2 linked regions of the Cricetulus griseus genome follow. The protein of the gene in region 1 interacts with the protein of each later gene in a pairwise test. Links are inferred from orthologs where the notes say so. Each region holds a gene or a part of one and is shown on either strand. Other genes may lie near its edges. The genes, in order: Tfdp1 and E2f6.

Region 1 (15,475 bases):
AAGGTATATAGGATCACACCTAGCACATTAAAAAAAAAAAAAACAAAAAAAAAACCAAAAACAAAACCAGATAGCCAAGTTTCAGCAAAACATGCTGAGACTTTATTGAGATATCATAGAACCTATAGGACAGTTTAAAGATGATGGCCAACTTAACAACATAGAGTCTCCAAATCCATCAATCCATTTTAAATCAATGTTTTACATTTTTTTGTAATCCATGGAATTTTACATATCTGAGTTAATTTTAGATTTCTCTCGTGTTATTATAAACTATATTTAAAATATATTTCCAAAAGATTATTGTTCTATAGAAATATAAGCTATTTTATATTTATTTGCTACAGAAGACTGGGAACCCAGGAGCTCATGTATGCTTGGCAAGTGCTCCACCCCTCAGTTATGCTTTGGCTCCCTGAATGGATCTTGTATAACAGAAACTGCTTTATTAACTGATTAACTGTAAAAGATTTCTTGACTTCCCACACATACAGTTATCTTCTGAGAATAAATATGTCTTCCTATCCAATATTTATGCCTTTCAATTTTTTTGTCTTACCTTTTAAAATGTTTTTGGTAGTCTATCCCCCACAGTGTTCTTGCCGGCGTGGGTGTAGTCTATCCCCCACGGTGCTGGGGTCGGCGTGGGTGTAGTCTATCCCCCACGGTGCTGGGGCCGGCATGGGTGTAGTCTATCCCCCACGGTGCTGGGGCCGGCATGGGTGTAGTCTATCCCCCCATGGTGCTGGCATGAGTGTAGTCTATCCCCCACAGTGTTGGTGCTGGTGTGGGTGTAGTCTATCCCCCACGGTGTTGGTGCTGGTGTGGGTGTAGTCTATCCCCCACGGTGCTGGTGCCGGTGTGGGTGTAGTCTATCCCCACAGTGTTGGTGCCGGCGTGGGTGTAGTCTATCCCCCACAGTGTTGATGTGGTGTAGTCTATCCCCTACAGTGATGGTGCTGGCGTGGGTGTAGTCTATCCCCCACGGTGTTGGTGCTGGTGTAGGTGTAGTCTATCCCCCACGGTGTTGGCGTGGTTGTATGATGGCCATGTGAGAGTGACAGTGTGGCCTGCCAGGGTTCTTATGTGCAGGTCAGAGGACAACTTTCAGGGTCTGTTCCCTCCTTCCACCGTGTTAGGACAGGGTCTCCCTGGTTGCTTCTGTTGCTCTCACTCTTTCTACCGAGGCAAGCTGGCCTGTGAACTTCTGGGTGATTTTCCTGTCTCTACCCTGTCTCTCTATGGGACTGCTGGGATTACAGACACAAGTCCCTGCATCAGGCTTTTGGAGTTCTGGGGATTGAACTCTTGGAGTCAGGCTTGTTCAGGCAACATTTTTACCCACTAAGCCATATTGCCCACCCCTTTTTCTAGTCTTATTGCACTGTTTAGGACTTCCGATTTATGCTGTAAAGAAGAGGTTGAAGCATAAAATACCCACATTTTTCACATTTTCTGTTTTTGTTTTTTGAGAGACAGGGTTTCTCTGTGTAGCACTGGCTGTCCTGGATCTTTCTTTGTAGACCAGACTGGCCTTGAACTGATAGAAATCTGCCTGTTTCTGCTTCCCAAGTGCTGGGATTAAAGGCCTGTGCCACCACTGCCTGAATCATGTATCCACATTTAAGCAATTATTATCATATTTTATCGAACATTGGAAGATAAATTGTCAGATCATAACACTGTGCCTAATTTCATAACCACTCTCTTCTAAGTTACCCTATGAAAATACCATTGTTATACCTAACAATTCATTCTTTATAGCTTTAAAAGGGGTGCATTGAAATGTATTTAATTAAATAATTGTTATAATAATTAAATTCACTTATGTGTATACTGGGTTTTCCTTTTTTAAAAACTTTGATACAAATCCACATATAAAGCTTATCTTTTTTTTTTTTTTTTGAGACAAGGTGTCTCTACATAGCCCTGGCTGTCCTGGAACTCACAAACTCACAGAGACCTGTCTGCCTCTGCCTGTCAGGTGCTGAGACCAAAGGTATGCACTATCACACCCAGTGGAAGTTTATCATGTTAAGTGTACAATTTACTAGTGTTAATTTACAATGTTTCGTACACATTACTATCATCTGTTCCTAAAACACTGATATCATTGCAAACAGAAACTCTGCAATTACAGGGAGGGACTATACATTTCTTGCTACCAACAGAGCCAGTACTTATTCTGACTTTACCTATGCTAGTAACTCACAAATTTATTCTTTTGTATCTGGCTTATTTTACAGTATAATGTCTTCAAGTTCCACCCATATGGTAGCATATGTCAGAATCCTGTTACTTTATATGGCTGAATATAGTTTATGTGTGCATATGTAGTATTTTGTTTATTCCTTCCTTTGTCAATGACAGGGCTACCTTTGTATATCCAGGATAAATTTCAAATGGTCATTATTACAGGAGCATAAATGACCTCGTAGGGGGCATGGAGGCTTTTGTGCTCACAGACATGCACAGGGGGACCTGGAATGTTAAACAAAAAGGGTTGTTCCTTTTGGGGAAGGAATGCAAAACCTGTTTTATACCCAGAAGGCTAGAGTGGACATGATTTCTAGCCTGGTGACCTTTGCGCAATCAGAATGGCGGAAGACTTTCTGGCACCACGCCCTCCTCCAGACCCTTCTTGTAAACTGGTTTTTCTTAGTCAATCCATGGAACTCATCTTTACGGAATGTATCACATATAGTCAATATATAGATACTATCTTTTTTAGGTAAGGTGTCACATGTGCCTTGCAAAGAGTTCATTGTAGTCACTTCTCTGTATTTAGCTTGTTTTGTTTCTCAAAGAGATTTAGACATGCTTTGTTTTGCACATGGAATTGAGTTAATCATCACAAGAAAAATTTTCACTGAATTGTGCTGTGTTTAAATATGCCCGAACTAAACAACTCAGATTCAGACTCGGCCACTGAGTTGTGTCAAGCTGAACTGTCTCCTAGCCTCCTGTGGCTCATCTCTCTGTTACCCGTGAAGACTGCAGACATCCCCGCATGACCCAAAGACAGCTACATCATCAAAGACCACCTCAGAGACAACTCTTGAAAACTGGAAACCCAGAGCTTATCGCACAATTTGCAGGCATCTCAACAGTTGAAATGTGTATTTTTCTGTAGCTCGGTTGGTTAGTCTCTTCCAGATTGTTGGGGTTGTCTCTCATCACTCCTTTCTGCTTACATAAGCTTGGGGAGGGAAAAACCTAGTGTGTTTGGTTTCAGGGACTTCCTGAAGCTCTTCAATTGTTTACTTCCTGACTTTTTTTTAAGATTCATTTTTTTTTTGTATATGCATGGGTGTTTTGCCTGCATGTATGTATGTGCACCATATGTATGTCTGGTGCCTAGAGGCCAATAGAGGGTGCCAGATCTCCTGGACCTAGAATTACAGATGGTTATAAGCTGCCATGTCCTCTACAAGCACAGCAAGTGCTTTTTAACTTTGGGGCCATCTCTCCAGCCCCTACTTCCTGAGTCATAAGGACCCTTCCTTCAGAACATTAGGGATCTTCCCCACTGGTGGAAATGCTACACAAAAATCCCATTTTGCTCTTTGCCTCCCAGTGGTGAAGAACAGCTCTCCTCGGCTACATTCTTCTTCCCATCATGATATTCTGTACATGTGTTTGGGACCAAATGGCCGAAAACTGAAACTTCTGAAACCAAGCGCCAAAGTACACCTCTCCTTGCTTAAGTTAGTTCTCTCTGGTGTCTTTGTCACAGTGAAGACAATGGTAACTCAGGTACATATTGGAGAGTGTGTCTTCTTTGAAGTCCATTTATTGTAGTGTGTCTTGCTTACTCATCACCCAAGAAACAGGTCTGTTTATCACAGATTAAAAGCAGAAATCAATCCATCTTGACCCTTCCCCCCAGACCACACATTTTGTGCATTCTCTGGTTCCTCTGTTCAGCCTGGTTTCTGCATCCTGTCAATATGGCTTCCCGAGAACACTTTGAGTTCTGTCTGTATCCTCCAGTGAATTGAGTTAATGGCTGTTGTCATGTGAAGTCACTCCATGTAGTTAAGAAACTTGCCCTTGTTAAATATACACAAGAGGCAGGTGCCACTTCCCATCTTAGAGACCAGGATGGTGGTTTTCTTTTGTTTTCCTGTTACCTGGGGGAGGGGAAAAGAGGGGAGGGGAGCCAGAATTGGAGGACTCCTGGCCATTTGAAGGCCTCCATGCATGATTTCAATTCTGGCACGCAGAACCAATGTTAATTAAATGCTTGACAGCTTAAGAAGGTGGGGCTTAGCTGAAGTGGTAGGAGCAGGTGTAGTCAGCATAAAGGTGGTTAATTGTAAAGCCATGCGAAATAGGGGTGTCCAGTAATGACATGTTGCATATGACTGGGGGAGGCCTTTGGTCTGTGCTCCTCAAGACTCTTCATAGATGTTAATTAGCCCAGCACTTGGTACAGCTCTGACCTCTCTATTACTAATCAGCTGGCTGGGGTCATTCTGCTTTACCCAGATCACATGATTGGGCAAGGAGACGATTCTCCAGCTCTAGTAATCCTGGCCCTTACATGCCCAATGTTTATGGGATGGACTGGCAGATCCAGAGGCTTACAACTGTCTCCTGAAAACCAGGGGCCTATCACTCCATGCTTCAGAAGCCAGAGGTTTACGGCTCCAAATACTGAAGTTGGAGGTTAAATATTCTGGAATTTAACCACCAGCAGCCACAACACTGGCAGCTCCTGGAATCCTTAGCTTCCATCGACAGCAATGGCCAGTGTCTGCTAGTGCTGTAACTTTGCATGGGTGCTGGGAACCTCAGCACCTAAGTGACTCCTGTTGCAGTTTTCAACCCTAGAGTAAGACCATTACCCCTCTTCCAGTGTCTGGTACTCTGTTTCTCCTCTCTGCCTCGTCATCACCTTTGTCAGTCCTGGCTCTTGTCTCTGTCTCCTGAGTATGCTGTTGTTCTTGCCCCACTCACTCTCCGGAACTCTTCAGAGTCCCCCTGGTGGCTACTAGTGCTCCATTGGTGCTTATGGCTTATGTCATCATATTACCAGTCTAGCTTATAAAAATAAAAAAAAAAAAACGTGCATGATCACTCCAGAGACGTCTTTATTGGACAAAGGACTTACCCAACCCACTGAAAAAGTGAGCCAAATAGCTTGTTTATATAGTCAGGAATGAGGCGTGGCAAGGATGTTGGCACCAGTCACAGTCCTTCCCTGGGCCACTAGAGGAAATATTCCCCCACATCCCCCAACCCGTGTCCTGGTTGAAAATGGTCACTAGGGTTTACCAAGGCTTGTGATGGAAGGAGTCTGATGCAAGTTATTGAAATAACCATACCTTGAATATTGCCTTCTGGAATCATGGTTTTGCTTTAGCATAAGCAGCTGTGGTTGCAGTATAGCTTCCTCATGGCATCTAAGGAGTGCTCAGAACAGGATAGCGGCCAGGATGGTCCAGTCAGATGCTAAAGAAGGAAGGGCTGTTTGGCTGAGTCCTATGGCCAAGGCAGCTAGGCAACAGAGAAGGATGTGTCAATCTGGGAGTCAAATTGGCCTGTCCCTCAACATCTTAGCTTATTTAAAGGAAAGACAACCATGTAAAGGGTGCTTACACTAAACATCCCGTCACTCACATCCACAGTTCTCTGATAGCATTTAACAGCACTCTACTCTTGAGCCATATATTGTTGGGCAAAGCTGGGTCACTTTACCCAAACCATTTGGACTGATTTGGGAGGCCTAGCCTATTCTCTTCCCAGGCTCTCCAGCTTTAGTCCTAAGGTAGAGGTCTCCAATGTGGACTGTCTTCAGGCCTCAGGGTCTACCAGACCCCTCCTGGGATGAAGCCTACAGACTCTGAAATGACAGGAGCAAACACCCTTTCAGGATGCTTCCTGCCCTGAATCACTGACAACCCAAGTTCAGGCCATGTGGCTGTGGACGTCAATAGCTGAATAGTGGCAGGCTCTCTATGTCTCTGCAGTGTCCAATACGTGTGTGCATCCCAACAGTCTTCACTATGGCCTGTGTAAATGTACAAAACTCCTCTGCTGGGGGTGCACATACAGGTACGTTAAGGCACTCCTACAACTGACCTCTTTTTCCTCATGCGCACATAGCTGGCCCCTCTATTCGTACACACATACCTGTATTCTGTGCAGACATTAAACACAAATATACATAGTTGTATGTACAGGGGGTTTTCTGTATACATGTTCAGGCGTGCACGCCCGACTCATACTCTGCATATGCACGTGTATACAGCTATACTATCTGCATATACACAGGTGTGCCCACGTTACTCTTCTATGTGTACCTGCAGGTATGGCACACACCACAGATCTTTCTCCGTTGGCAGGTATCACACACACACACACACACACACACACACACACACACACACACAGACACACACACAGGCAAACACGTGGCCCTCTATTCCCTGCGCATGCACACAGATATGCATTCAGTTGGCCCTTGGTGTACACACAGAGGCGCGCACACACGTGGCCTCCATGCGCACATGCAGGCGCGCGCAGCACTTTTCAGTGCGGGCGGTCTCCAGCCGAGTCCCGCCGCACGCGCACGCGCGCACAGGCCCCTCCCCTATCCCAGGGCGGGTAGCACCGGCGAGAGGCGCGGGAGATGAGCGGCGGGAGGAGGAGGAGGAGGAGGAGGAGGAGGGCGCCGAAGGCGCGAAAAGGCGCGCAGGCGCGCTGCGCGGAGCGGGCCCGCCGCCGCCCACGTCACCGCGCCGCGCGCACGTCACGCCGGCCCGACGCTCGGCCCAGGGTGAGCCCGCGTCCGGCGCCGCTGGCTCAGGGCAGGGACCGCCAGGGCCGGACCTCCGGGCCGGCGCCCCCGCGCCCCCGTCGTCGCCCCGCGCGCCCCGCCGGCCAGCCAGGTGTGGCGGGGGCGCTGGCCGGCCGAGCGGGAGGGCGCGGGCTGGGCGCGCGGCCCCGTTCCCGCCCCAGCCCGGTTCCCGCGTCCGGCTGCATCCCGCCCGCCACCCAGCCTCAGCCCGGAGTCGGCCTCGACGCGGCGTGGCGTGGGCGGCGGGCAGGGGTCCTGGCCACCCTCCGGCTTTCTCCGCGCCAGCGCGCGGGGCTTGGTGGCCGGGCCTAGTGACAGGTGGGGCGGGCGGCGGGCCGGGAGCCCACCTGTCAGAGTGGTCGGCGGCTCCTTGGGGTCTTGGCAGCTCGAGGGCCTGCTGCGGCCCGGGGTTTGCCACGCAGTGTCGTGCCTAAGCTGGGGGCCTTGTGCCTCGGTGGGGCCTGTGGTCAGACGGGGCCCGCGCGCCCAGGTGGGGTGAGCCTGACGGCTGCGCCTTACTCTGCCAAGGGGTTGGGGTCTGGACCCTCTGCGAGTGGGAGCTGCTGGTGGCCGCAGGGAGCACTTCCATTTGGAGAGGTGACTTAAAATCCCCGTGTGGGACCTGCTTGGCTAGCTCTCCTGTCGGGATTGTGCAAGAAAGGCCCCTGCTGCCTGGAGGCCTGCCTCGTGCTGGTGGGGAGATGTTTCCTTTGAAATGCGATGTCTGTTAAACTTCTTTTTTCATTCTCTCTCATTAATTGTCTCCTTCCTTTTTGCCAGATAAGTCCGGTTTTTTCTGTGGCGGGTACGCAGTTACAGCCTTGATTTCCTGGATCTGGTAACATGGCAAAAGATGTAAGTATGATTGCTTCGTGCTGCAGACATGTTAGCTCACTGCTCCTTGCAGTTTTCTCTATGGCCGTGCGTGCATGGCCGTGGTTTATCCTCACATTTTACACGCAGGAGCTGGGATGGAGGTGAGGGATGGAGAGTCAGTAGGTGGGTGCCTCCCCCCTGCACAAGTGTTCTTTGTCATCTGAAGACTGACACGTTATTTGTGGTTGGATGATGTGGTCTTGATTTTTCCCTTAACCTATCTAGACAGTTTAAATTAAAAAAAAAATTGAATACACCTCTCAATTAAAATGAATGTGTGAGGGGGGTGTTGTGTGTTAGTGGGTTTCCACTCAGGACAGCTGTCAACATGGAACTTAGGCTGTACTTGTTTTATGTAGTACGCAGGACCGTAATTCAACTTTGATGGATTGAATATCAACAACTTGTTTGGGCACATTTTTCTCAGAAAGATGACATCTGGTGATTAATGAAACACGGTGGAAATGCTGGTTGGTTTAGCTTTATATTTATCTTGAAGCTACTGGATATTTTGAATAATTTTTTTTTTTGAAACAGATATGGAGAGTTAGGCTTTTAGGCTGCAAGATATAGTCTCTGTTGTTGGTTACATATATTTTTGCAATATCATCCTAACTCCTTCCAGCACTAATGATCTCCTTTTCAGTGTTCCTCAGCATTCACTGCCCTGTGAATGTTAGATTCCTGTATTTTCTGTGCAGCCTGGGAAATGCAGGCAGACGCGCTACATCATCTAGAGTTGTGCTCAGGTGTAGTGTGGCTGCGTCTATGGTGTGGGGCCAGGTACCGGTGGGTGCTGTGTCCTGTCCACTGACTTGAGGACTCAGCTATGCTTAATGATCCACATGGGTCAGACGGTGCCACTCTCCCTGTCATCAAGCACTTGGCTTGGGCCTGCTCTTTGGAGTTGTGTCACACCCTAGGAGATCTTGTATAGGTCACCTGAAGTCACAACCATATATGATACTGGCTTGATCTTGTTAGGTCCAGTTGTTTATCTACACCCATGTCCCCACTCTTCTCCATATGTATGCCCTAACATGTATGTGTGGGCTCAGCACATGCCCACAAAGTAACTAGATTTGGTAAATGGTTTGTAAATGGGATACTGGCCCCCATGCCTTTGTTAGGTCATGGTACTGGCACGATATTATTGCATTTTCAGTGAGCCAGCATGCTCAGAGTTTTGTCATTTTAGTTTTGCATCATTCACTCCCTTTCCATGTGCTGTGTCCCTGGGGAAAGGGGTGGTGCACTGTGAGGACAGGTGGTCAGGATCTCCCATCACAATGAGAGTCTGAGGCCAGCTGGTTTGGGGTTATCCATTGTGGTGTGGCTGGGCTGGTGCAGTGACTGAGTAACAGGGTGCTGGAGCTGACTCTCATCACCACACATATTCACACGCCACAAGCGTCTTCCCCAGTCAGAGGGGAATCAGAGACTGCAGACAGTCAAGGGTTGGGCCGTTCCTGTAGCCAACCATGTCTTTATATAGGATACGATACTTGTGTTTCAGAGAGGGACATTGTAGTCTGTGCTGAAGGAGAGGAAGTAGGCACCACTGAGTTTTCTAAGCACTTGATACTGGGGATGAAATCTAGCTGTAAAGTATAGCTGGACACCTGTGAGAGCAGAGGGGCTAAAGTCAAGCTCTGGGTCATGGAAGAGGACCAGGAAGGGTAGAGAGAAGACAACAAATAGCTAAGGGGCTTTCTGCCCCAGCAGATGCCCAGGCAGATGGGCAGGTGAGGGTTCCCTGTGAACTGCAGGCTGTGGCACAGGGCTGGCAGTTACCAGTGAACAGGATGGGATGACAGGAGCCGATTATGTTGACCTGGCAAAGGATTTCTCCCATGCAGGACAAGAAAGCTGATGTGGGAAGGCGTGGGAGTGGGCAGGAGAGTGAGGAGTGATGGTGGAAGTGGGGGTGAGTGCCTGCAGGTACTTGGAGATGCCTGCTTGCAGTGCTTTCCTGTAACACTGCAAATTGTCCCTGTGGAAGGCATGTGTATTGAATGAACCATGATGACCCTGCTGTAGGGGCTGGAGAGCCTGGTATGAGGGGGTATGTCTTAGAACATGAATGTCTTCTCCCAAGGTCAGGCTAATACTCACTGCCTGAGGAGTTGTGCTGTCTTACTGGGAAGACTGCATTTTTGGACTTGCCAATCTTCAGAAAGTTTCCACCTCATAGATGTGCCCAGAGGAGCATTTCCCAGATGACTATGAATTTGGTCATATTGACAATGAGGATTAACAATCACAGGTCTATCCCTTGTCAACCCCACACCAAACACATCATTTTAAATCTTAACATTCTATCCTTAGAGGTTCATCTCCTAAGGCAAGAAGCTTTTATACTTCATTGGCATGAGCCTCTACAATCTTGACATTTCTAACATTGTTCAAAACTCTAAATCCCAGGCTGTTGAGATGGCCGGCTTGTCAGACCTGACTACTCGAGTTTGCTCCCTGGGACCTACATGGTAGAAGAGAACTGACTCCCATAATTTGTCCTCTGATCTCCACGTATTTACTGCACCCTCCAATAGTGAAGACTGGACCAGTGCAGGACCAAAATTCAGTAGGACAAATACCAAACCATGCAACTCCATGTATGCTATCTTGGGATTGTGATGGAATCCTCTGGGCTGTGACAGGCTTGGGTCGCTTTGCCCCTTTAGTAACACTGCCGGTAGCACTTGAGGCTCTTTCTTGGGCCTGCTGCATTTTGTGCTTGCAACTTTCCTTGGCAGATGTTCCTTGGTCTGGTCCCGATGTATCTTGTGTCTTGAGGTCTCCGTTGCAACTTAGGCTTTCCCTTTCCAGCGTCATTCAGTGGCCTCTCAGACTATTTGCAAGGACTTCAGCCCTGCCCTCACTTATATTTTGCATGCCTATAAACCATCCCGAGGACAGTGCCAAGTTCTGCTACCAGCTTGAGATAGATGGCCCCTTCTACTATGGCTGCAGTGACCTTCTATGTCTTGGGAAAATACTTCTCTAAGTGGTTGTTTTCATTTGATGGCATTCTCAGTTCAAGCTTTTTCTTTGAAATAAGTTTTCATTTTCTTAAAAAAACAAAACACTATTATTTGTGGGAGAGTGTATATTTGTGCATGTATGTATGTATGTATAGATACATATAACTTTGTAGAATTATTTCTCTTTGCCTCTTCATGTGGGTTCTGGGGGACTGAACTCTGGTTGCCAGACTTGCTTTTACCTGCTGAGCCATCTTGCCATCTGGAGTTGGCGTTTTTTTGTTTGTTTGTTTGTTTGTTTTTTTACCAGTTAGACCTTTCTAGGAGTGAGTCTTGCCCTAAGGATGCTTTTCTTACGTGCTGACTGTGCCACAGCCTGGATGCCATGCTGTCTTGAAATTTCCTCTACCAGACAACTTAATCCATTACTTTTATGTTTGGCTTCACTCTGATTTTAAGGGCATGGCCAGATTGTTTGCTAGAAGGTAACACAAGTGGTCTCTAGCCCAGTTCCCAATAGAATCCTGGTTCCTCTCTGAAACTTCATGAGCCTAGCCTTCAGTGTCCACATTTCCACTGACATTCTGGTCTTTTCAAATGCTCACCAGAATGGACTAGTAATTTTTGCTTATAGCATTCCAGGCATTCTCTATACAACAGGCCTATACAACAGCAATGGCCTATTCCTCAATACCAGTTTTCCGTATTAGTTACTTTTCTCATTATTGTGACAAAAGCAACTTAAGCAAAGGTTTATTTGGCCTATAGTTTGAAGGAACCGTCATGCTGGTGAAGGTGTGCTGGAGGTGCTAAGCTGGCCATGTTGTGTCCGTGGTCAGAATGCAGAAAGATGTACGCAGTTGCCAGCTACTTGCCTTATTCCTTTTAGTCAGTGTGAGGCCCCAGTCCGCATGGTGCCGCTTACATTCAGGGTGCGGCCTCAAGTGAAACCTTGCTGAAAACAGACACCCAGAGTTGTACTCCTACAGCATTCCAAATCTAGTCAACCTAACAGTGACGATGAGCCATCCCTGGTATCCTGCAGACAAATTTCATTATTGTAGCCTTGTTTCCAACCTATCCTTTCTGTCTTTTTAGTGGTGGTTTGACATGTTGTAGAGTTGTAGACAGTTGCTACTGAAGAGGTAAGTTAATATGGGAAAAAACTACAATGTAGTTCAGTGGTAGCTGCCATAGCCTTTATCTACAGATTGAAACCTGCTTTATGAGAGGAGTCCACTTGCTTCAGTTTTCTGCATGCATTGTCCCCAGGATATCCAATTCTGATTTTATGGCTGGATGGAAAACAGAAAGACACTTGGACATGGCAGTCTCCTAGATTTCAAGTGATCTCTTCATAGCAAAGAGAGATGGTGTTGGTGTATAGGGCCAGGTTTTAGCTGCTCAAGTCTGGCGTGTAAAGGTTGTTCAGGAGGGCCTGTTGGCATTAGCATTCTGGGAAGAGGGAGGCTGGAATCTGGAGGTGGAAGAGCCCCTGGCCCTTTTGCCATGAACATATAGATTGCTGGGGGTTCTGTGGTTTCCAGGATCAGTCTTTTTTTTTTTTTTTTTGGTTTTTCAAGACAGGGTTTCTCTGTGGCTTTGGAGGCTGTCCTGGAACTAGCTCTTGTGGACCAGACTGGTCTCGAACTCACAGAGATCCGCCTGCCTCTGTCTCCAGAGTGCTGGGATTAAAGGCATGCGCCACCAATGCCCGGCTCAGGATCAGTCTTAAATGGTTACAAATCCATTGTGACCATGAGGATGAATCCTTGGAGGGTGATTGTGATGTTTGTGCACACCTGTACATGTAGTGTCTCTGAGTTGTCAGATTTGTTCTGGAAAGACGATGGATGCCAGGTGACCACTGTGGATGTCATCAGGCTGTTGGAAAGCACTTATTTTAACTTTCACTCTCCAGAATAGACTTCAGCAGCAATATTTGAAAGTTGCAAAATTGTTTAGCCTTATATAATATAAATAATAAATTGTATCTTGTCAAAAAAATTGTAGGGGGTTAGAGAGCTGGCTCAGTGGTTAAGAGCACCCAGGTTTAAATTCGAGCACCCAAATGACAGTTTAAAACTGTAACTCTGGTTCTAGGGGATCTGACACCATACTAAATGCACATAAAATAAAGTTAAGTAATTTATAAAAGAAAAAAATTAGGAATGAGCTGGGCATGGTGGCATATATCTTTAATTCTAGCACCTGGAAACATAGGCAGGCAGATCTCTGAGTTCAAGGCCAGCCTTTTCTCCATATAGAGTTCTAGATCAACTAGGGCTACATAGAGAGACTCTTATTTCAAAAAACAAAAAGAATTTAGAGGTTAGTATTTTCCTCATTTTTTTTTCCTTTTTTTGGTATCTGTTCTCAGTCCAACCATGTGGGTCCTAGGTATTGAACTCAGGCTCAGAGACAGGTACCTTTACCCACTGGGCCATCTTGCGAGCCCATACCTTGAATTTTAACATCAAATACTGTTGGGTTTTTTTTGTTGTTGTTGTTGTTGTTTCATTTTTACAGCACTGGAGGTTGAATCTAGTATTTTCATTATGCTAGATTATGTCACTAAGCTATATTGTCAGCCCTCTTTTTTTTTTTTTTTTAATATGAGGTAAGTTGCCCTTCCAGTCCTTGAATTCATTCTGCAGTCTTTCTGGCCTTGAACTCACTCACAGTCCTTCTATTTCAGTCTTCTGAGTACTGGGATTATAGGCCTTTGTCATGATGCCTGACTATAGTTGTTGTTCTTTGGTATGACCATTAAGATTTTCTGAGGCTGGAGCTGGAAAGATGGCTTTGTGGTTAAGACTACTTGCTGCTTTTGCAGAGGTCCCAGGTTTGATTCTCAGCAACCACATGGTGGCTCATAGCCATATGTAACTCCACTTCCAGGGATCTGACACCCTCTTCTGACCCCCAGAGGCACCAGGCATGTATATGGTGCACTTATATGTGCAGGCAAAATACTTATACACATAAAAATAAATAAACCCTCCCTCCCTCCCTCCCTCCCTCCCTTCCTCCCTCCTTCCTTCCCTTCCTTCCTTCCTTCCTCCTTCCTTCCCAGTTCTGCCTGTCTTGGAACTTGATATGTATACCAGGCTGGCACAAAATAAATCTTAAAACAGTTTTCTAAGGCCTAGGTTCATTCTAGTGGTTGCATATGATGTAGGGTGGTGACCTGTCAAACCAGTGTGCTGCATCACTTCTGAGTCCTTGGAGGTCTTATTTGTAGACTCTGTTTTGCCTTTTAAGAAAAATCAGTTTTGAGGCAGGCCCTAGGTTCAACTCCCAGTGTTGGGGGGGGTGCAGTTTTTGCTGTCAGGGCTTATTTGTTTGTTTGTTTATTAATTTATTGGTGTTGGGTGTTGAAACCAGGGTCTCATACACCCTGGGAATGTGCTGTATCTCTGAACAGCTCTCTCAGCCCCTAGGATTTGAATTAAAGTTACCTTATTGTGCATGGAAGATGATGAAAAGGGAGAAACTGGGAGTTACTCTTTAGCCTCTGCATGTCTTCATGGCTAGGTTTGGGGTCAGCTTCAAAGTCACACCTATCTCTCTGGTCTGGTATGTTTTTGGGCCAGTCAGTTATTGAAGATGATTATTGCTTTAAAAGATGTTTCAGCAATCTTGCTATTCTTACTTCAGTCACTTGTGTGGCCTAGAAGAGACATTTGCCTCAACATCGCAGAGATGGCCTGAGTGCTGATGCTTGGTTGAACCCTCTGTTTGTGGTACTTGGTGTATTCTTCTGTGCACAGTTGCAGCCTGCAGGTGTAGGACTGAGCTCTTGAGTTCTGCATCTCTAGGTTGGTGCTTCAGAATGCAGTACAAGCTTGCTTTTGGAGAGTGGCAGGGACCGAGGCAGCTCTTGTAGTTGGGCAAGAAAGTGAAGTCCTATGCTGTGGGACAGCCGCTTCCTGATCTGTGAAACCCCACCTGCTCATGCTATTCCTGTGGTAATTGCCTTCTGTGTCCTAGCCATCCACCATTGGTAGTGCTTCATTTTCCCTTTCCAAAGCTGCCCTGTGACACCAGGAAATGGGACATATCAAACCTGGACAGTTAGCTACCTGGCAGCTCTCCCAGGTAGTTGTGTATTTGGGTCTGTTGCGTAATGAAGTATCATTTGGTGTCTTTGGATAGGAGTTAGGTGCCTACAGGAAATTGGTTGAATTTGAGGCTGTAGCAAATTCTATGGCTTATCTATCTGCCTGTCTGGGAAGACCAAATCTCTAGACACAGCACCCTGAATGCACATAATCTTGTCAAGAAGGGCTGTAGCTAGGAGGGAGTGCTGAACCCAGCTATACTCAGGCAGCAGAACTGAAGGTGACTTGGTGAACCCGTGGGAGGAAGAAGATGTGAGCATTGCTGTGCTGTAGGTGAGCCCTTGCTGTGCTGAAGGGGCCATGTCCTGCCAAGCAAGCTGACGAGGGTCTGGCTTAGAGTCTGTGTGAGAGGAGATGAAGGCAGAGACATGCTTGTGAAGAGTAGTGCATGGCTATTTCCTACTCTCTTTTTCTTTTGGTAGAACTAAGAATTGAATGTAGGCCCTCACCCATGTTGGCCAAGTAAGTGCTCTTACCACTGAACATAGCTCCAGCCCTCAGGCTGTGTTCAAGGGCTCTCCTTCGTACATTTTGGATAGTTCTTCCTGTCCCTGATCCTGGCATCTGCCATATATATCTTGTATCTTTTTTTTCTTTATTTTTTAATTTGAATTAGAAACAAGATTGATTTACATGACAATCCCAGTTCCCTTCTCCCTCCCTCCCTCCCCTACCACCCCCCAACT
Region 2 (14,961 bases), on another chromosome or scaffold:
AACCACTGGGAATTGAACTCAGGACCTCTGGAAGAACAGTCAATGCTCTTGACCCCTCAGCCATCTCTCCAGCCCTTAAATTTTTTTTTAAAGTTTAGTTTGTATGTATGTTTTGCCTGCGTGTATGACTGTATACCATGAGCTTACCTGGGGCCTGTGGTGGGAATTGAACTAGGGTCCTCTGGAAGGGCAGCCAGGCCCTCAGTTAAAATGTTTTATCTGTCCTCCACTGGGATTTGAGATCCAATCTGTCATATTCAAAACAGTATCTTTTTTTTTTTTTTTTTTTTCCGAGACAGGGTTTCTCTGTGGCTTTGGAGACTGTCCTGGAACTGGCTCTTGTAGACCAGGCTGGTCTCGAACTCACAGAGATCCTCCTGCCTCTGCCTCCCGAGTGCTGGGATTAAAGGCGTGCACCACCAATGCCCGGCAAAACAGTATCATCTTGATCACAGTTCAATACTTGATAACAATAAGGAATCAAAAATTGATTCAGGGGTCTGGAGAGATGGCTCAGAGGTTAAGAGCACCGGCTGCTATTCCAGAGTTCTGAGTTCAATTCCCAGCAACCACATGGTGGCTCACAACCATCCATTTTGAGATCTGGTGCCCTCTTCTGGTGTGCAGATATACATGGAAGCAGAATGTTGTATACAAATTAAATAAATAAAATCTTTAAAACAGCGGGTGAGGGATGGAGGGGCTTTGTTGTTTTGAGACAAAGTCTACCACAGTGGGTTTCGAATTCAAGCACATGATCTCCCTGTATTAGCCTCTATGGCACTGGGCTTAGAAGCATGCGCTTTCCGTTCCCTCCAGGGTGGCTTGTTTAAGAGCATGTGTTATCGCTTGATGCTTAGTGGGGGCCCGATAGTCAATCACCCAATGTCCCGGGCGCTGAGAACCTGCAGACCGCGGGTGAGGGGATTCAGGAACGCCTGTTCCGGTCCCCCGGAATCTCTGCTCCGCCTCTTTCTTCTCCCTCTCCATCCCCTCCGAGGATCCATCCTCCGGGATACCGGGCCGCCAGCTAGCAGCAGGCGAGGAACCGAGGGCGCGGGAGAGCTCCACGGAGGACGATGCGCATGTGCAAGGGCCGGAGCACTGCGCATGCGGGAAGATGGCCGGCCCGGGATCCTGAGTTCCTCCGCGGTCACCCCGGTACCCTCCGCGCCTGAGCGCATCGCTGGAAAAGTGGGACCGCGGCGATCCGTGGGTGGAGCCGCGGCGCTCCGTGGGTGGAGCGGGCGGCCGGGGGCGGCGCCGGAGGGGACGCGGAGCCGGGACGCGCGTGCCGAGCCGCCCGGGAAGGCGGGAGGGCGCGTGGGGCGCGAGGGGCGCGGGGCAGCATGAGTCAGCAGCGGCCGGCGCGGAGACTGCCCAGCCTGCTGGTGGACCCGGCGCAGGAGACGGTTCGCCGCCGCTGCCGGGACCCCATCAACGTGGAAAGCCTACTGGTGAGCGCGGGCCAGGACCCACGGGGGTCACTTGACGCGAGGCGCGCTCTTTGCGCCGGGCCCTCTGCACCCTGTCGCTTGGGTGACCCGGGTCTCTCCTTGTAGCTCCCCATCCTCGAACCGCCCTGTGCTTCTTGCATTATTTCCATTGCAATTTACTTTGCGGGAGGGCGGGCGCGTGGATTCCGCGAGGCGCGTGTAGAGATGAGAAGGCAACTTGAGGAAGTCTGTTCCTTGCTTCCACCTTTGTGGTTCGCCGGGTGGAACTAGGATTGAGTTTGTAAAGCTTGGCGGCAAGTACCTTCACCAACTGAGCGATCTCGCCCGCCCATCTGTGCGGTTTGACAGGAAAAATGAAAGAGCGACAGTTCCCTCCATTCTGGGCTTCCCACCGTTCTCAGGGCCCCTGCTGGATCCATTCTTTGTCCGTTCCTCCTGATCACTGTTTTCTCTCCAAGGCCAGCCAGTCCCGTGCCAGATAGTTCATGATTGTTGTCTGACTCCTCACACTAACCTTGAGATTGTTATTCTTAGAGTTTGTTGTCAGAACAGACTCAGAAGTTGTGTGACTGGCCTGGGGCTAGGTAATGAGAGATCTGGAGGAATCTAGGAATGACTGCAAGTGACAGCCTTTCCCTAATTTCTTTCCCTTGTTTTAAAAAAGTGGTTTCTGCTCAGTGTCTACTTCATCTTGCACTGTGCTGGGGAGTTGGGTCTTAAGCATTCTGTAACGTTTTAAATAAGAGCTCTGTCGATTTTATCCATTCTAGTGTCGGTTTCACACCTTGTGTAACAACTACCCACTTACTCTGTTGTGTTTTTGACAGCCACGATGGGGCCCCTTGCCCCCTTCTCTTTCCTTTTCAGACACGTGGGTGCCACTCTGTTCTTGTAGGTGATCACTCACTCACTACTCACGACTTGTGACCTGTCACCATGGTGGTTTCTTGAGAATTTTATAGAGATACTCTAACTGCTCACACTGGAAAAAAGCAAATACAGGCACACACATACCAACGACTTAACTTTTCGAAATGCATCAGAAGATATATCCTCTGAAGTCTTAGATATTCTTATCCAGTCTGGTGATTTCAACCACCTCAAGGTAACTCCGCAATCCACACATCTTTCTCAGAGCTTTCCAACTGTATGTTAGATGTCCCTACTTAGATCTAAAACTTAAGAAAAAAATTATGTCTGTGTGGATGTCAGTGTGTCTTGGTGCACACAGAGGCCAGGAGAAGGTTTAGATCATGTGGGGCTGAATGGAGTTAACAAGTGGTTATGAGCTGGCATGTGGATGGTGGGAACTGAACTCAGGCCTCTGGAAGAGCAGCAAGCACTTTTTAACTGCTGAGCTGTGTCTCCAGACATCAGATTCTTACATCGAAAGCCAGCTTTATTCATGGTCCCCCTTGCCTAGGAAAATGACCTCTTTCTCACACCCCACCTACCCTACTGCCCAAGCCAGCACACTGGCCATCTGTGGTGCCTTTTATCTTTTCCAGAATCCCACCCCCCCCCCCCCGCCCCAGTCTCTGAACTAATTAGCTACTAATCAGCTACTATTCAGTGCTACAGTGCCACCTTGGCCGGTTTCCTGCCACTGTTGCTGCCCCTTACTGTTGGTGTGTATTTCACCTATAAGGGATGGTCTCTCTTGAAAGTGTGTTTCTGATCTCATTCCACCAAAGGAATCCTTTTCTGTTCCCTAGTACTCCCAGGACAGGGTAGAACCCTCCTAATATAATCTAGCTCCAGGTTTTTCTTTTCTTTTTGATTTTTCAAGACAGGGTTTCTCTGTGTAACAGCCCTAGCTGTCCTGGAACTCGCTCTGCAGACCAGGCTGGCCTCACAGAGATTTGTCTTCTTAAATTATTCTTCTGTGGTTCTGTGCTCCATCCTCAGCCTCATCTTCTCAAGCTGACACCCTTGCATACATTTCCATATTGTCATGGGGGTATCTGAAATCTAGATTCATGGGTAACTTGTCTTTAAGTGTCTTTAGCCCTTCCTTGGCCTCTAGTCTGTTCTGTTAGTCACCTTCTATGTGCCCCAGAGCATTCTGTCCTCACTGTTCCATCCTCTGCAAGGCTTGTGTATTTCTGTCCATTTCATGCTATCGTGAAGATGTGGCCATGCACAAAAAAGGTTAAACAAGTTAATAGAGTGGGGACTCTGTATTTTCTTGCCTATAAAATAGTGACTTAACATGTCAGTCATTTTAAATTGACTTTAAAAACTGCCAGAATTTAATAAGCCATTGTGCAGAGCAGTTACATGTCTTGCTGGGTGTTAGTTGCCAGGATAAATGGCTTAAGCCTGGTCTGGGCTTTGGAACAGGGAGAAAATAACACTGGGTGGAGGTGAAGTTGTTTTGTGTGTTAGAAGATAAGGAAGATCTGGATGGGTGACGTGAACACAGTCACCTTGGAGAGATCTATGTTCTCTGAGCTCCTGAAGGAGTATTGCTCCCACGCAGGGAGCTGGTACAGAGAAACCCTGCATAGAGACAATTAACCATTTTGGAGACAGGGCCTAGGACATGAGTTTCTACATGTCACTTTTCTCCCCCACCTTTAAAACTTACAGCCAGGCGTGGTGGCCCTGCTCTGTAATGCCAGTCCTTGGGAGGCAGAGGCCGAAGGATGGTAAATTAAAGGCCTACCTGGGCTACATAACAAGTTCCAGGCCAGACAGGGCTGTACACTGAGATCCTGTCCTGTCCTTACCCCAACCCTCCAAACCGAGTAGATTCCAAAACCACATAAAAGCTGTAGATATAAAGGGAATGGGGCCAGGGGATGGTAATGTTGCCCTGTGTGCTCCCAGATGTAGACACGGGGGCTTCTAAACGTGGGGATGGAGCAGCAGGGAAGCAGCTTAGAACATGTCAGTGTGTAACTCACTCATCACTGCTGAGTGTTCTTTGGAAGCCCTGAAGTCTCTAGAAGTATTCACTTGGGGAGGGGAGGGGTATCTGCCCTCGGTTCGTGTAGCAGCAAAATGGGTCGGTAGCTCCACGGAGTGTTAGCCAGGCATGGTGAGCAGCACACTCATGTGCTTCTAGCCCTTCAGGAGGCTGAAGCAGGGGGATGGCATGTTTAAAAGCAGCCTGAGTTACATAGGGAGTTCTAGTATAGCCAGGGCATGATAGCAAGAAACTGTTTCAGAAAAAGGAGGAATTTCATGCACAGGAAGAAAACAAATGATGGGATTGGGACCTGTTTCCTTTGTCACTGCAGGCAGAGTTCGGGTAGGGGGAGGACATCCTTCCTTATGTCTCATTGCAGTGCTGTCCCTGTACCAACCTGTGGAGGCAGAACTGCCTCCCCTCTAAAGCAAATGGGCAGCCAATAGGGAAGCTGTCTGTGCAGAGCTTGGCCCCACCAGTCTAGGTTAGGAAAGGAACCTTCTGCAGCAGGCAGTGATGAGTGCTATTAACACTTCTGCATACTTGTTGATACGCTTTTCACATCAGTATATCAGTGTGAGGAGGCTGGGATTCGAGGCTCAGTTAGCAAACTGTTTACTTAGCATGTATGGAACCCCAGTTCAAGCCCCAGGACCAAATAAACAGGCATTGGGGTACAGATCAGCAGTCCTAGCACTCAAGAGATGAAGGCAGGAGAATCACAAATTCAAAGCCATCTTTAGGGACAGGTTGAGTTTTGAGGCTAGCCTGGGCTATGTGGGACCCTTTCTCCAAAAGCCTTGCAGGCCAGCAAGATAGCACTTCCTGCCAAGGTTATGGCACTTCCTGCCAAGCTTGACAGCACAAATTCAAGCCCAGAGAACCATATGGTGGAAGGAGAGAACTGACTAACTCCACAAAGTTATCCTCTGACCTCCACATGTACAGCCTGACACATCCACACACAAGATACATAAATGTAAGAGGAAAACAGATCCCTTGTTCCAGTAGCCAGCCCCTGTCTCATCCTGTGTTTGGAGAACAGTCACGTGTAAAAATAGCAGTGACAGTTGGTCACACTCATCTGTGGTCGGCTTTCACAGGGCCTGCTTCAGAGTTCTGATGTTGGATGCCACTGCCAGCAGTGTTGAGAGCTGGTCCCCACCCATGGGAGAAGTGTCCAACTTTGGGGTTGCACACCCAACAGGCCACCTGCCCATTTCAATCCTAGACTGTCCTAAACTGGTTTTGTGGCATGATGTCATCTCAAGTTAACCTGCTACCAGATGTTGTCATCTTGTCAGAGGTGACAAGAATCATCTGCAGAGGCTCTATAACTCTGATATGAGCTGCTTCTCTGTTGCCCACCTGGCCTCTGGCTGTCCCACCCCTGACCCTTTAGCCAGCTTGTTGTCCCATCTGTGCCACAGTTCTAGACCATGAGCAAGATTGTGTTGTGGTCTTGTCCAGAAGTCTTTGGTGGGTCTCTGCTGGTTAAAACAAGACTTCAGCATGGTCTTGATGAGGTTGGTCATCTTTCCAGCTACAAAACTGGGCCACTCCCACATGGCCATAGCATGTCCTCAGGCAGGGAGCAAAAACAAGTCCTCAATGTATTGCAGATCATCGTTCCAGTTTATGAAGCTTCAGTAGTCTCCGAGTACCTGGCAGAAAGGGGAGACTGACACTAGGACCGCCACCGGTTTGCCTGGTTGTTTTCGGAATTAACTATATTTTTATCTCTGTATTCATAACTTGTACTGCTTGTTATTTTTTAAAGGCTTCTGATTGTTCATTAATGGGGCTGACAGCATATTTTGGGGGCCACTTAAATGGTGGGGCTAGGGGGGTGAGCCTTGGCTGGTGTATCACAGAGTCCACCTGTCTGAGCCTTTTAGGTCCTAACCATCTGTCTTTACCATCTTCTCCCCAGCGCCTGCTGCTGTCAGGAATTGTTTCCCACTTAAGTGTCCTGTCTTCCACCATCCTTCCTTTATTCACACTGAAATATGTGCAGCCTGAGAGGCCTAGTCTGGGTGGGTCCTTAGAGATAGGGTTTCTCTCTGTAGCCTGGCAACATGGTTGTTTTTGAGGGTTCATAAGGTCACAGAATAGAACTAAAGAGACAGCGAAGGGTACCCTGGTGGTTGAAATTGAGGTAGGTGAGAGGAGTGGCATCTTTACCCCTCCCAGATGCAGTTTGAAAGACTCCTTTTTTCTTGCCCTCATGACTTCAGGTGGAAAAAAGGCCTTAAAACAAAACAAAACAAAACTGTATCATGGCCAGGCATGGTGGCGCACGCCTTTAATCCCAGCACTCAGGAGGCAGAGGCAGGCGGATCTCTGAGTTTGAGGCCAGCCTGGTCTACAAAGCAAGATCTGGGGCAACCAGGGCTGTTACACAGAGAAACTCTGTCTGGGGATGGGGGTGGGGGGGATGGATAATTGTATCATAGAACAAAATTAATTCATTTGCATTGCTGTTTGTAAAATGCTAAGTTTATGTTTTCTTTTTTCCAGCCATCAAAAATAAGGATCAATCTAGAAGAAAATGTGCAGTATGTGTCCATGAGAAGTAAGTTGACTCCTAAGTAGGTTTGGGTTTATAGTTTGAATGTCACACAGTCAACATGGTTAGTTTGTCTGGTTGGTTTTTTATTTTGTTTTTTGAGATAGGGTTTTTCTCTGTAGCCTGGCAACATGGTTGTTTTTGAGGGTTCATAAGGTCACAAAACAGAACTAAAGTGACAGTGAAGGGTACCCTGGTGGTTGAAATTAAGGTAGGTGGGAGGAGTGGCATCTTTACCCCTCCCACAGTGCAGTGGCAGTACTGTACATGTCACCATAGGCTTGTGTCCACATGGTTCTCTGTGGCCCCTTCACTCTTCCTGGTTTTACTCTGTCACCAATTCATGTTTAGGGTATCGGATGATCTTTGTGATCGATGTCCCCTTCATTGACTTCCTCTTGATTTGGTTCTTATCACGGGCACTCCTTTCATTTACAGATGCCGAGATGTAGATCCTACAAACCGTCTTTTGTTTCCTTCAGCATCTGCCACCATCTCCCCTGTGGCCGGTCAGCAAGTTAGGTCAGCTTGACTCTTGAGGTGTTTCTTTCAACTGTCCCACACTAGCTGACAATGACATCTCTGCATGAGTGACCAAGCTTCAAAATACAGCCGTGGATTGTCATCCATCATGCATGAGTAGGCTGAGACCCAGAAAGGTTAAGCAGCCCACCCAAAGTTGGCGTCTGGTACCATACATATAGCTTCATCCTGTCTGAGTGGACTGCTGTCTCCAGCTGCCAGTCTGGCTCTCCCAAGCCCAGTCAGGGCTCTCATGCCTCTTACCCTCTAGCCTGGTGTGTGCCTAGTTCTCAGATGCTGCTTTGTCCCTCCTTGGAGTGGGGAGCACTAGGCTTCATCTTTCTGTGCTGCTCCCAGCATCCTCCTGTAGGAGTATCCCCAGTTCTTCACTCCAGTAAAGATGGCACACCATGTTCTCCAGTGACTTTGAATACCATTCAACATACCACTGTTTATGGCAGAGCTCCTTATCAGGCCCATGCAGTGCTCTTGCTTGGGGAGCTGTCCCCACAGCAGCCCTTGTTAGAGATGTTCAATTAGTTTTGTTCTTTATAAAGTGGCTGACATCCTGGGAATGTGCTCAGCTTACACTAATAGGACAAAATGTACCCAATAAATGTCTAGCCAGTGAGTGAGTATAAAATGAGAATAATGAAGTCTGGCATGTCTTGTGAGCATCATCCGATATCATGTTCCCAAGCCCTGGGATAGCTCAGCACTTCTCCATGCACTTAAATATGCAGCCATTTAGAGTAATGTAGCACACCTGGACACAGTGTGCACACCTTTGATCCCAACACTCAGGAGGCAAAGGCAGATCTCTGAGTTCGAGGCCAGCCTGGTCTACAGAGCAAGTTTCAAGACAGCCAGGGCTACACAGAGAAACCCTGTCTTAAAAAACAACAAAAAGGAATAATGAATGAAATAAATTTGTTCATACATCATGATCACGATATTGAAAGAGCATATTGCAGAATGCTATTTTCCTATTTTGCTTTTAAAAGCTATACGTTTAAGTGCCTGGAGAGATGGCTTAGTAGTTAAAAGAGCGTATTGCTCTTCCAGAGGACCCCAACACCTACACAGTGGCTCACAACCACTGCAACTCCAGTTCCAGGGGATCCCATGCCCTTTTCTGATCTTAGTGGGCAATAGACACACACTTGGTACACACACATGCAGGCAAAGCACTCATACACATAAGATAAATATTTTTTAAAGACTTTATTTATTTGTTATGTATACAACATTCTGCTTCCATGTATATCTGCACACCAGAAGAGGGCACCATATCTCATAACAGATGGTTGTGAGCCATCATGCGGTTGCTGGGAATTGAACTCAGGACCTCTGGAAGAGCAGCCAGTGCTCTTAACCTCTGAGCCATCCCTCCAGCCCCAATAAGTAAATATTTTTAATATTAAAACTATACATATGAGCAGAGAGTAAGTACATAAGATATAGTAGATATTTTTAATAAGTAAATATTTTTTAAAATTAACAGAAAAAACTATACATCTGAGTGAAGGATGTTGCTCAGTGGTAAGGTGCTTGCCTGGCCTCTGTGAAGCCAGGCTCATTCCTTAACACACCAAAGAAGAATGAACAAAAACTAGATATTGACGTCCAGATGTGTGTTGGCAGATTATGTGTGAAATGAAGGCATCTGATTTCAAAATCATTTCTAATCCTCTTTCTGAGAAGTAGTTCAGCGATGGTTACAGAAATTTCTTGGAGGGATGTGGACTTGTAAAAAATGGTTATTAGTGGAAACTCACCAGCCTTTATTGAAACCTGATGCCTTTGCTCAGACCAGCTGACCATTTGCCTTTCATCCAGTTAGAGAAATGTTTCCATAGAAACCAGCAGGGGTTTCCATGGCTGTCTGCTCCGATCCTTAGGGAATAAGCGGCTGTCCAAGAAATGTCGGCTCATGTGGCACTGTGCTCTCCTTTGCAGAAGCTTTGAAAGTGAAGAGGCCCCGTTTTGATGTGTCGCTGGTGTACTTAACTCGAAAGTTTATGGATCTTGTCAGATCTGCCCCTGGGGGCATTCTCGATCTAAACAAGGTTGCCACAAAACTGGGAGTTCGGAAACGGCGCGTGTATGACATCACCAACGTTTTGGATGGCATCGAGCTGGTGGAAAAGAAGTCCAAGAACCACATTCGATGGATGTGAGTTTATGTCTGTCCTTACCCTTTTCATTAACGTCTGTCCAGCAGCAGCAGCCTTTGGGAATAGAAAATGAGGTCTTTTAGGCAAAGATTCCATAAGGTTTTCTTGTTATCTCAGTGTACTTAAATGTATGGGACTACTGAGGTCTAAGTGTAAACATTCAGATGGTGTGTAAAGTTAAATGGAATAAGGTGGTTAATTAATTAATTAATTATCCCTATAAGATCATAAGAATGAAACATGGGATTTTAAAAAGGGGATTATTTTTAAGTGTATTTCCTTAGTGTGAATTAATAACGGAAGACATGATTCCCACGAGGCCATATAGTACTCAGCCAGGAACCCAGTCCCTCCTGACTCTTTCTGGAGCAGAGCAGATGTCAGCATGTCTACTGCATGACTGCGGTGCTGGTGAGATGACACACCACCCTGAGTGTAAAAACACACTTCATGCTCAAAAGGCAGTTGCTAAAGAGTTGACATGATTGGGAAGGGTCTCGTAGAAAGAAAGCCTGAAGATAAGACACAGACAGAGAGTGTATGCACAGGAAAAAAAAAAAAAAAAAAAAAGCTGTGTACTTAGGAAAAAGAATTCCAGCATGGGAGTAAATGAGAAATACAATAGGTAGTAAAACCCAAAGATGATCAGTGACTAAATGAATGGTAGAGGAAAGGGCTTCTTGAAGGACACTGTTTTAGAACAAAATACAGGCAACTCTGATGAGAACGTTCTCCTTCAGGGTACTGTATCAGTCATTCCGAACCTTAATCCCAGCACTCGGGAGGCAGAGGCAGGTGGCTATCTTTGCTCAAAGCCAGTCAAGGCTACCTAGAGAAACTGTCCCAAGAAAAGAAAGGACGGGCATAACCACACAGATGGTGTAAAAGGAAATGCAGATGCTCCCACTTAGCCTGCTCTCCCTCCACAGACAGCTTTGCTCCTCTCCTGGCAGCTGCTGACCTCGTGTCTGTTTTCATCTGCAGAGGATCCGACCTGAACAACTTCGGAGCGGCACCACAACAGAAGAAGCTGCAGGCCGAGCTCTCGGACCTGTCGGCGATGGAAGACGCCTTGGACGAGTTGATTAAAGATTGTGCCCAGCAGCTATTGGAGTTAACGGACGACAAAGAGAATGAAAGATATCCTTCCACCCATACCTGTGTAGAAGAACTTCTGCTTCCAGAGTAGATAATGTCTTAGGGAGAGATTGGGCGATTAAGTTTCATGCCTAGATATAAAATTAGGCCCTTAAAAGTACTGTAGCCTCGAACACACAAGAGCAATCCGTGTTAATTGTAGCCTCTCTGTGCTCCTGGGTCAAGTCTGCATGACAATGGTTGGCAGTGACATACCCAGTTTGCCCTTGCATGTTAAAATTAAGGAGTGTTTTGTTTGTTTGTTTGTGTTTTATTTTTTGTAATCTCTTTCCTGAATGGTAAAATGTTTGTCAGCTTTTGTAGAAATCAGGCTTTCCCCAATTTGTGAACTAGCCACTGCAGTAGTGTCTTTGCTTATCAGTCCATGCAGGAAGCCTGTAGAGCAGGAACTGGGAGAACCTGGTCCTTGGTACCTCCCCTCCCCCGCCACTGTTCTGCTGTCTACAGTTTTCTGTGCCCTCTGTGAGTGTCAGTAATTCCTGCTCCCTCCACTCTCCATGGCAGTCAAATCCTATTACTACAGGACAGAGCTTAGAAAATCAAAGCCAAGGCTCGCTGTGCCAGCTAACCGGAGAGTCTGTAGTCTAAAAGGAAGAAAGCCAGAGCAACTGGACCGAGTGAATGTAAAGTATCTGGCAACATCGTAGAAAGAGTTGAAAGGCGTTCGGTGACAGAAATGTGCTTAGAAGGAGATCACAGGTGCATGATCGCGCTGAAAGCTTCCTCTGTGGGTTCTTCCTGCTTTATGGACTTTTTTTTTCTTTTCCTGCCTTCTGGAGTATTTTTATCCAAATCGTGAATGCTTTTTTCTCAGGTTCCCATAGTAAGAGCCAACACTAAACTCTTAATAGTGAATGAGAATTCACACTGAATATAGCATAGGTGGGGATTTGAGCATAGTGCTTTCCCCTTGTTTGTGGTTTTGCTTTCTGTAATTTCTGTTGCCCACAATCAGGTATGATCTAAAAAATATCACATGAAAATTCTAGAAGTAATAACTTTCAGTATGCTATATGCTATAGTTATACTCCCTTATTATTATTGATTTCTTACTTTGCCCAGTGTATAAATTCAACCACACTTCAGAAGTGTATGTGTAGGGAAATACGTGCTATACATAGGGTTTGGTATTGGTCCATGACTTTGGGCATCTACTGGGGATTTGGGATATCCACCCACCACCTCACTCCACTCCAAGGACAGGAGATAGTTATCTTTGTGAGTTGTGTTTATGTTCAGTTTTGGGGGCTTTATTAATCTCTTTCTCCAAAAATTGCTCCAGTCAGTATTTGGTTTAAAAGAGTTCTTTGTTACAAATATTATAAAACACCATAAAATCTTAAGAATTCTTTTTGAAGTAATAATTACCCTGAAGTTTTGGTTTTTTTTCTGTTTCTCTTCATTATAGGTTTGTATCCCATAAAAGCTAAGCTATTCTTGTACCTGCATTCATGTAAGAGATAGTGATCTTGCCAGGCTTGGTGGCATAAGCCTTTTTCCCAGCACTCTTACATAATGAGACTTTGCCTCAAAAAAAAAAAAAAAAACCAGGGGCAGGGTTGGGGGTGATGACATGTCAGTTTTGTCAGATCCTTGACCAGGTTTCACACTAGCATACGTAACCTATCAGGATATCCACAGCATCCAAGCCTTCCATGAGCAGATTGTTATTGCTGTGAAAGCTCCAGAGGAAACCAGACTGGACGTCCCAGCTCCCAGAGAAGTAGGTAGTGCTTCACTACAGGAAGGATTTAAAGAGGGGCGTGGGTTAGCTGCCAAGTCCGTGACCACTGCAGTCACTTGTGTCCTATGCCCTTGCCAAGCTATGTACCTGTTAGCTTAACCATGAGTGAGGCAGTCCTTGTAACCTTCTCAGAGAGGAGAGAGCCAAGCACACAGAAGCAGGTGTGCTTCAGGAGCCCACACGGTGACCAGCAGGACCAGGCATAGGGCAGAGTTTGGCTTGCAGCCATGCTGCTGCTGTCCGACTACAAAAGAAATTGCTTCATTGGCTTTGCCTTGGTCTTCAAGTTCCAAAAGTAATAGCTGGTATGGCCAGAGCTCCGGGGAGCTAGCTTGCTACCAACTCACCAAAGACTAAGAGTGAGCTAGACCACCGAGTCACAGATATAGAACCTCTGTGTAAGGCCAGTCTTCCTATCTGCTGCCAACTGCTCCAGGAAGGTTTGTGTTGAGAGTCATTGTCACCAGAAGGTCCCTTGATGAGGATGGAGTCCAAAGCAAAGCTGGTGGCCCTTCTAGGCATTCTGACAGCCAGCCGGGTAGCTCCCATGCTGCTCATCACCAGCCATCATATCACTGTCGTGATGGCAAAGATTATTCCCACTGCCTTCCTTTCTTTTGTCCCCAGCAGTTCACATAAAACCCTGTCACCTGACAGTGTATCATCAGTCATGAAGGAGCACCACTTTTCCCTCGATCCTGTTCAGATTGTACCCTGGTGACATTCCCTAGTTTGATTTGGATTTAGACAAGTGTCCAAGTAACATATTTAGGATGAGTTAGTTATTCTGCAGACTCTGAAACTCTTTAGCCACTATTCTTGCAGGACAGCTTTTCTTTGGAGCATGGTAATCCGTCCTACAGGAATTAGCAGGGTTTGATCTCCCAGTGCTCTGAGCTGCTTGCCCGGAATTGCTAAATCACTCTGAACTGTTGAACACACACAGAGCCTCTCTCGGTCCCATTCAGAGCTCTGCAATTGAGGTCCTCCAGGCTGGTTGTTCTCAGCAGTGTCCTCGATCAGTAGACTGACTATGTGTGGCTCTAGTGGGGATTGTGTGCTTAGTACAGAGCTGGCATAGTGGCCTTCAACTCGTTCTAGCTTCCTACTTGTTCTTGTAAATTGTTTTGTTGGAGCAAGGCCATCTGTTTAGATATCACCCATTGGCTTTCATGCCACCATGGCAGAGTCAAGTAGTTGTGGCACAGCGTGGCCTGAAAAGTCAGAAACAGGTACCATCTCCTCTGTCCTCCTTTTAAAATTTTTTTGAAAACTTCTGTGTATGTGAATGGGTATGTGCACCTCAGTGCAAATGCCCCCTGGAGGCCTTGGCTGGCGTTGGACCCTGGAGCTGGAGTTCCGGGTGGTTGTGGTCACCCTGACATAGGTGCTAGCATCCGAATGCTGATCCTCCACAGGAGGAGAGCACACCCTGAACCTGTGAGCCATCTCTTAGTTCCTCAGGGTTCCTCTTTACAGAGTGACTTAGTGGCTGGTGGAGTTTGAAGTCTTTTCTGCTGACTGCCAGTCAGGAGCAACATTGTTTTCTTGAATTATTTGATGTTAAAAGGTTTCCATTTAAACCTGCCCTGGCATTGCAGCCTCCGAGCATGAAGGTGGTTGGCCTATCTCACCTGTCTGACAAGCTGTCAGCCAGCTTGTTTGGATGAGATCCCAGAGAGCAAAAGAGCTGGAGCGACGGTGACATCTAGACTGGCCTATCCATGTGGATGTGGAAAGGGTGCACTTGAGGAGCTCTGGGCCAGTTCCCAATGGGAAAGACAAGGAACCATAACTGCAAATGCCCCTTACATATTTAGTCTCTAAATACAAGCAACCACATTTTTAATTTCTTATGGGAAAACCATTGGAATTTGCTCCTGGGTAAATAGAACTGAAGCCAGAGGATAATAGTCATTTAATCTAGTGTTTCTCTTTGTGTATGACATTTCAAATTCCATGAGGCATGTTTTGATCTCATCTTTTCCTCTTCCATCTTTTCACTGGACAAAAAAACTAGCCTTCCTGTGACCTCAGTACCTCTACACTGGTTTGGAAACACCGTGTACGAATACGGTTGGGTACTCCAGAACTCCCTGCTGCCAGAGGAGGAGAAGGGGGAGGGGTTTCCAAGACCTCAGCTGTCCATTCTGTACCTCCAAGACCGTTGCTACTGGAATGATTAAGTAGAGGTCTTCACTGTAAATTGGCCAGTAGTTTAGAGTGCAGTGACAGTTGAGAACATGTTTATCTCAAATGCACGGTAGAAAGGAAGCTACAAGAATTTAAGTTAATTGAAAAACTGCAGTTAATTGATGCGCATGTTCACGTTGGCAGTCTGTGTGTCTCTTGCTAGGATTCTATCACAGTTCATATCCGAAGTACCAAAGGACCCATTGACGTGTATCTGTGTGAAGTTG

Evidence for each region.
Region 2: the proteins of Tfdp1 (region 1) and E2f6 interact in binary tests that used the Homo sapiens proteins (3 or more experiments, as listed by UniProt). The link is inferred for Cricetulus griseus from reciprocal best matches to the Homo sapiens genes TFDP1 and E2F6.

Annotation. Positions count from the first base shown.
Region 1 is NW_023276807.1:67,444,110-67,459,584, reverse strand, and holds the start of Tfdp1 (transcription factor Dp-1), read left to right. Parts: upstream 1-6,768; 5' UTR 6,769-6,896; intron 6,897-7,585; 5' UTR 7,586-7,648; coding exon 7,649-7,660; intron 7,661-15,475. UniProt on the Homo sapiens protein: Can stimulate E2F-dependent transcription.
Region 2 is NC_048600.1:26,017,564-26,032,524, forward strand, and holds the start of E2f6 (transcription factor E2F6), read left to right. Parts: upstream 1-1,085; 5' UTR 1,086-1,110; coding exon of another isoform or gene 1,111-1,161; 5' UTR 1,162-1,349; coding exon 1,350-1,457; intron 1,458-2,324; exon of another isoform or gene 2,325-2,562; intron 2,563-6,891; coding exon 6,892-6,946; intron 6,947-8,916; exon of another isoform or gene 8,917-9,421; coding exon 9,422-9,638; exon of another isoform or gene 9,639-9,693; intron 9,694-10,623; coding exon 10,624-10,779; intron 10,780-12,405; coding exon 12,406-12,520; intron 12,521-14,897; coding exon 14,898-14,961. UniProt on the Homo sapiens protein: Inhibitor of E2F-dependent transcription. Binds DNA cooperatively with DP proteins through the E2 recognition site, 5'-TTTC[CG]CGC-3'. Has a preference for the 5'-TTTCCCGC-3' E2F recognition site.